Linked DNA regions of Mus musculus. The protein of the gene in region 1 purifies or fractionates together with the protein of each later gene. This does not show direct contact. Links are inferred from orthologs where the notes say so. Each region holds a gene or a part of one and is shown in the gene's direction. Other genes may lie near its edges.

Region 1 (3,747 bases):
CTGCCTCTGCCTTCCGAGTGCTGGGATTAAAGGCGTGAGCCACCACGCCCGGCTCGCATCCAGTACTGTTAACCGCTGAGACATCTCTTCGGTCCCTGAAATTTGTATTTTTATATCTAACTAAGTAAAGGAAATTTGATAAAAGAAACACTCATAATTACAAGAATTTTTCTCTAGGAAAAAGATCGTTGCTTTGTTTTAAAATATGGTGACATGGGGGTGGAAGACGGTGTATTTCCTTTTGATCACTGCCTTTGAACATACTCGTATGTAATATACCATATACTTGACATAGGGTGGTGGGGAAGATCGGCTCCAGTTCTGGCTTAGTAAAATCCGAACAAAGAACTCTCTAAGAAAAGGTTTCTATTTTCTACGCAGGGCTGACTTATTTTGCTTCAGTGTGCACATGGGGGCGGAGGTGATGACTGGCAAACCCCGACTCTCCAAAACCTTAAGCGTAGCTCTCTCTCCAGCTCTGGCTTCTCGGTACACGGAGAGTGGTCCAGAAGCGCTTCTCCCTTCATAGTCTCATATCCCTAGCGAAGTCAGAAACCAATACGACAGAGACATCCGGCGCCAGGGCTGGGCTCCTTTAGGCTCCCCGACCTCACCTTTCTTCTCTCACACCGCCCACGCCCTCCTGCTCGCTCCTCCGCCACCTGCGCGCGCGCCCCAGATCCGGTGCAGCTTCTCGTGCCCGCCTCCCGACGGCTGCCAATCACAGCTTTCTGCAGTTCCCTGGTTACCGAAACAACGGTCCTTGGGCACCTTGGCCACGCCCCTTTGGACCTGCTTCCCGCCTTTCGTGCTTTTCGCCCAATCACTCGCGTCCGAGTGTTCTTTGGTTCCCGCCTCCCCGCCCCCGCCCTCCTGAAGACCCGCCCTTTTTCCGAGGCACGACGGAGTCACCTGACCCGCGGGCGCTCCCTCGGTGGAAAGCAGGAAGGGGCGTGTGCGTGAAGGGGAGGGGCGCAAGAAGAAAGCGGCAGGGATGCCGGGAGTGGGGCGGGGAGAAGGTTTGTCAGTCGGATCTCGCGAGAGAGGACGGAAGCCTGTGGGAGCCCGTGGCCTTTAAAGTGCGATTCAGCCCTCTCCTCCGGGGCTAGTTTGTAAACACGGCCGGCCTCCGGGCTCGCGGGTGGCTGGCAGGACCATGAATTAGTGACCTGGAAAGGTGAGTAATGGTGGAAGGGCCACGGGCTTGGAGGTTGTAGGGATGCAGAGGAAGAAGGTGCTAACATGGCGACGTCGCTGCCTGTAGTCTCCACCCCCCGCCTCCCACCCCTTTTGCGCCCCTGCTGTGGACCCCAACCCTACGGACGGCGGTGGCCGCGTTGCCGCCTCTGGTCTGGCGGAGCGACCGGACCGTTAGGTAACGCGCTGCGGCTCCGGCCGGCCCCTCCCTCGCGCGCTTTCCCAAGCCTGAGCGAGAAGGAATAACGGCTCTTCTCCGACCCCTCCCTCCGACTTCTCCTCTGGTGTGGTCACTTGAGAGGTCCCCGAGGCGCCCTTCGGATCCGCCCATCTGTCGGGGAGACCCCCGCCGCTAGTCCTTGATCGCGCTGCCCAGAGGGCCCACGCTGGGCTCCCCACCGGGGACTCGGGCGATCGAGGGTTTGGGATGGTGCGTTGAAGGATTGGGAAGCAAGGGTCTCTGGCCTCGGTGGAACGTGATGGAGCCAATGGTAATGGAGAACCTGCTGGTGGTCTCGGCCTTTTCTGTCCTTTCTGCCGCCCTCACACTCCCGCCGCCGCCACCCCCCCCTTTCCAGGTGGGGCGGGGCTGAGGTGTGGGTGCAGGTTGATTCTGCTATTCCCCCCCACACCCCATTTACTTCGACCGGTGTTCTGCAGAGCTTTTGTAGGAAAATAATCTGTGCCTTTTATTACCCCAGGGACAAGGAAGAGAGGTAGGGAGAGATGTGTGTATGTCTCCCCGGGATGCTCACTCATTGAACCAGACCTTGGAGGAGATGGGAACTATTTTTATGCACATAGGTATTATAAAATTGTCTCTTCTTTAATGGAGACTCTTAAACTGGGAAGGTCGAGTAAAACTACCACCAGTATAATTGAGTAAAAGGGATACTCATGATAGACTCTAGGCCCATCGACTAATACCTAGTTTACCTTGTGGAAGTCACAGTTTCTTGGGGATTATAAACTAGGGACACGTTCACACCAGATGCAGGTAATGCTGTTTTTAACATCTGACCAAACACGGACTGTTCTGAGCTCAGTTTGTCCTGTTTGAAGAAATTCTTAACCCTTGGCCATTGTCAAGTAATAACCGTTCCAGGAATACTACTCATTTAGCGCCAAATGGCCTGGGTCTCTAGCACCCAAATGGTAAGACTTTATAAAGGCTTATTTTAAAACAGTTAACTCTAGATGAAATAAGAGTCTTGTATTTAAATTTGCTAAACCTATTTGAAGAATCCCTGCAATAAACTTTTTTCAAAAGTATAGAAATATTTTGTAGAGTATGCTAAAAACATATCCTATATAAGCCAAGAAAACTAAGTACATGGATCTTTAAGGCCATCGATAGTTGAGTGATAATTAAGGTTCTAGGTCTTAAAATCATTAATAAATAATTGGAGAGATGTTTAGAGATGTTTTCATGGGTATTTTAAAATTTTAAAGCTATATTGTTTTGAAATGATACTATCCATTAAATATTTCATGACTAACATTAAGTCAAGAAATCTAGGTTTGTTTTTGTTTTTTTTTATTTTTAAGAAAACTTGAAAACTTGAGTTTTAATTATTATCTGTACTCTCCTAATCAATTATATTGCTAGATCTAGTAAATAACTTTACCTTACATGCTGTTTCCACTCATTTTTGACTTTAGTCTCTTCCAAAATGATATGTGTTTCTGTGAACTGGTATCACTTTCTTTTGTTACTCTTATTGAAATGCCCTTAGAAAAGTAAGTCTTATATTTAAAGCAAAATTTGTATTGGAAGCTGGGCGTGGTGGCGCACGCCTTTAATCCCAGGCAGAGGCAGGCGGATTTCTGAGTTCAAGGCTAGCCTGGTCTACAGAGTGAGTTCTAGGACAGCCAGGGCTACCCAGAGAAACCCTGTCTCGAAAACAAAACAAAACAAAAAAATTTGTATTGGAACCCTCCTTGATTAGAAGTCAATGAAAGTAATTAGATAATTCAATGAAAGTGATTGGATGATTCAACTGACCTGTATGAAATTAATACATATAGTACTCCCTGTATTAACTTGTAGCCTACAAAACCACCTGTCATATAGTCAATGGTTTTAACATTTTGTGACTATCTTATATTCACATCTATTTCTATAGACTGAAATCTTGTCTGAAATGGAACATGTTCTATGTTTGTTTTTAAGATTTATTTATTTTTGTGTTTTGCTTGCATATATGTATGTGTACCATTTATGGGCAGTGCCCTTAGAGACCATCTTAAATCCTGAATCTCTAAAACTAGAGTTACATATTATTATGAGCCACCATGTGGGTGCTGGGAACTTATCCCAGCTGCTCTGCAAGAACAACAGGTACTCTTAACTGCTGAGCCATCTCTCCAGCCCTTTGTTTGCTTTTCTACCGTGCTAGGAAAGCTCTTTTTATTTTGTTGTTTCCAGACATGGCTTATCTCTGTAGTTGGCTATCCTGGAACTTGTTTGTAGACCAGGCTGGCCTCCACCTCACAGAGATCCTGCCTACCTCTACCTCCTGACCACTGGGACTAAAAGGTGTGCTCTTT
Region 2 (3,723 bases), on another chromosome or scaffold:
TCACTTTCCATAATGTTGAGACTCTGACTTAGTGTTGTACTTTCCATAGTTTTTTAAGACAGGCTTTCTTTGTATAGCCTTGCCGGGCCTGGAACTTTCTATGAAGATAAGAGATAGCACTGTGCCTGCCAACCCAAAGTGCTGGGGTCAGAGGCACAGCTGACCACGCCTGGCAATTTCCATAAATTTGATAGCGACTCCAGAGAGGTTGGGTAACTAGCCTAATCAGTCAAAACCCGAGTACTTCTATTTAAAGGTAGTCATCGGCCTTAGCTTTATTGGGCAATATTTGCTGAATCACGGTGCCTGGAGTCTAATAAGCCCTTCTAAACGCTTCAGTTTTACATCACATCGTATGTTCTGAAGGCTCAAAACCAAAGTCTTCACTCACCCAGTTATTAGGAGGGAAGGTGTCAAATACAACTTCTCAAAACATTTGATAATGCACTTTGTAGAGGGCATGCTAAAAACAAGCAAGCGAGCGAGCAAACCGCTATGATGCCCTAGCAGAACCTTGCCAAGGCTGAGATAAAGGCATCTGTATGAAGGTCAACTCCCCACAAGGACATGCTAAGTCCTTTCCGAAGCACTAAGATGGCAGCGCAAGGTTTTACAGTTACTTAAACAGAGCAGGTAGCCGAGGGTCAGCTGTCCCGCCCGCGAGAGAGGGAGGTCAGGACCCCGCGCCATTGCCCCAAGATCCCCGGAGCTCCCCCAGCGTCCCCGTGGCGGCCCGCGCGCTCCCGAGCTCGCCAAGATGGCGGCGCTCACGTGACCACGCGGTGACGCAGCACGCCGGCGCGCAGGCCACGCCCCTCCCCACGCTCCCGCGCACTCCTCGGCCGCCCCCCCCCCCCCCCCCAGCCCCGGCCCCCGGCCTGTGCGGATCATGCCGCCTGCGACGCCCCTCGCGGCCGGGAAACGGTAGCCGCGACGGTTGGCTCTCGAGTTACGCTCTCCTCCCGCACCCCGCCGACCCCTGGGACGCGCGCCACCTCGCTGCGGTGCGCGGCTGGCAAGTGAGGAGTAAAGTCGGCGCCGCCTGGGACGGGGGAGTGGAGCTTCCTGCCCCGGGCAGCGGCCAGGCGGCCCCGCGGGTGAGTGGGGCGCGGCGGAGCGCGAGGCGGCCCGGGCGGGAAGGCGGCGCCGGCGGGGACGCAATGGCGGCCACGCGCCGGCCGGGGGTCGCGCGCGGCTCGGCGGGCGGTGGGGGAGGGGCGCGGTGGGGGTGGGGCCGGCCGCGCGCTTCCGGTCGCGCGCGTCCCGAGCGCCCGGGCGTTAGGCTCCCCTCGCCTCCGCGGGGCGCGTTGGGAGAGGCGCCCCGGGCCTCCCGCGCTCCTTGGCTCGGCCCGCGCCGCATGGAGGCGGGAAGAAAAGCCGAGCGGCGGCCTCCGGCAGGCTGCAGACGCCGCGGCCTTGGGCTCCCGCCTCCATGACTGGGAAAACCGAGGCAACCCGCCCTGTGGCGGGGCACGGCGTTCCTCTCCTTCCGGGAGTCTCGCCGCTGGCCGCCTAAGTTATGATAGAAACTTAAAAGAGTCTCGGTAGCCGCCTTTTCTTTTTGAGACGGGATTTGTTGCGAAGAGTTCATGGTGCAGGACTTCCAGACGCGGTCGCCGGGTCCGGTTTATTATAGCGTTTTTAGTTTTGCCTGAGACAGGGCTTACCAAACTGGCCTTAAATAAATTTATATATACATACACACACACATACATACATACATACATACATACATAGTCCAGGTTGGCTTCGAACACGGCTTATGTTAGGATTTTTTGTTTGTTTTTTTGTTTTTCTTATATGAGTACACTGTAGCTGTCTTCAGACACTCCAGAAGAGGGAGTCAGATCTCATTACAGATGGTTGTGAGCCACCATGTGGTTGCTGGGAATTGAACTCAGACCTCTGGAAGAGCAGTCAGTGCTCTTAACTGTTGAGCCATTTCTCCAGACCTTCAACATCTTTTTCAAGGAAGGAAGCTAAGACGCCTTTTCCTCACTCACCAGCTGAGAAGTCTCTGTACTTGATATTTATTGATATTTACTGTTCACTCGTGACAGTCTGCTGGTCACTGAGCACACTTTACTGCAGACAGGCACTGCCTTTAGAGAGCTTAAAGCTGGGAGAAACAGGCAGGCTAGTAAACATAGCTGTTAAGTAATTCAGAGATAACGAGCCAGGCAAGACAAATGTATTAAAATAGGACCTGATCCAGGCGTAGTGGCACAAGCCTTTAACCCCAGCTCAGGCGGCAGAGGCTCTAAAGACCAAACCAACCTCCTACCCCTCACCCAGGAAGGAAAGAAAACCACAGGACTTGGTACAGTAAGGAATGGCAGTAAGAGGTATTGCTGGGCCAGGAATGGTGGTGGACACAGCCTAGCTTCTGGGTTTTTGCATCCTAATGTGAGATCTGAAGTAAATACAGTTTCTTTAGGTCTCATCACCACAAAAACAAATCTCTTCTCTTGATATTTCACGTAGAAAGTCGCTTTCTTTGTAGGATTTATTAAAAGCACCTTGCCTTGGGCTAGGGATGTAGCCTGCTCTGTAGAGGACCTGGGTGTGTTGGCAGGTTCTGCTTAATTGAGGCAAGCGGGGATGTCTGGAGAGTCAAGTTCAAGAAAGGTCACCCTCTGCTATGTATCAGGTTTTGAGGCCAATCTGGGCTATAGAAGACCCTGTCCTAGGAGGGCAGTGCCTTGCCTTGTGTGTGACAGCCATCCATAGCCTGCGGACTTCTCCGTTTCCAGCATCTTGTTGGTGATGCATTTGGACTGCATTTCATTGCCTTCCTGATTCTGCCCAACTGTGCATCATATTATGATAGCTGCTACTTGGAACTTAATTGTTTTTATAGAAAATGTACTCAGATAGTGTATTTTGTTTAAAAAGGTGTCATTTTGAAAAGCAGACTTTAGGGCTGGCAAGATGCTCAGTGGGTAAGAGTACTGACTGCTCTTCCAAAGGTCCTGAGTTCAGGTTCTGGTGGCCATATGGTGGCTCACAACCATTCTTGATGACATCTGATGCCCTCATCTGGTGTGTCTGAAGACAGCTACAGTGTACTTAATTTGTAATAATAATTAAAATCTTTAAAAAAAAGAAAAGCAGACTTCAGTCAAGCATGGTAGGACATACCTATGGCCTTTTTCTTAGCACTCAGGAGGCAGAGGCAGCCTGGGCTTTAAAATCCTGTCTAAAAAACAAAACAAAAACCTCAGCCAGATTTAAAATTTTAGGAATGGGGAGACTGGCTGCTCTTCAGAAGAAGACCTGGGTTCAAGTCGCAGCATTCTCATGGCAGCTCACAACTGCCTGTAACTAGCTCCTGGGTAATCCTGTACCCCTACACCCTACACACATGCAGGCAAAACACCCATGCTTATAAAATAAGTTTGTTTGTTTTTAAGTGTATTTGCAGTTGATAATTCAGTAAAACAGAACAGGTACAGTTTGTTGCTTATAGTGAGAAAAAGGTGTTTGTTTGTTTGTTTGTTTGATTGAATTGGGGGGGGGTGGTGTTTGTTTCTGTTTTTTCAAAACGGTTTCTCTGTGTAGCCCTGGCTGGCCTGGAACTCAGAAATCCGACTGCCTCTGCCTCCTGAGTGCTGGGATTAAAGGTGTGTTCCACCACGCCCGGCTAAAAAAGTATTTTATGTGTATGGATGTTTTGCCTTCAAATGTGCCTGTGTGCTATGTGTTCCTCTGGAAGCCAGTAGA

Evidence for each region. The genes of interacting proteins can lie anywhere in the genome.
Region 2: the proteins of Atf2 (region 1) and Atf1 purify together in Homo sapiens (affinity purification with mass spectrometry; 3 studies listed by BioGRID and IntAct, with this or other methods). This does not show direct contact. The link is inferred for Mus musculus from reciprocal best matches to the Homo sapiens genes ATF2 and ATF1.

The regions. Positions count from the first base shown.
Region 1 is NC_000068.7:73,889,905-73,893,651, reverse strand, and holds the start of Atf2 (cyclic AMP-dependent transcription factor ATF-2), read left to right. Parts: upstream 1-1,012; 5' UTR 1,013-1,177; exon of another isoform or gene 1,178-1,244; intron 1,245-1,292; exon of another isoform or gene 1,293-1,688; intron 1,689-3,747. UniProt on the Homo sapiens protein: Transcriptional activator which regulates the transcription of various genes, including those involved in anti-apoptosis, cell growth, and DNA damage response.
Region 2 is NC_000081.6:100,226,986-100,230,708, forward strand, and holds the start of Atf1 (cyclic AMP-dependent transcription factor ATF-1), read left to right. Parts: upstream 1-873; 5' UTR 874-1,097; intron 1,098-1,241; exon of another isoform or gene 1,242-1,620; intron 1,621-1,882; exon of another isoform or gene 1,883-2,345; intron 2,346-3,723.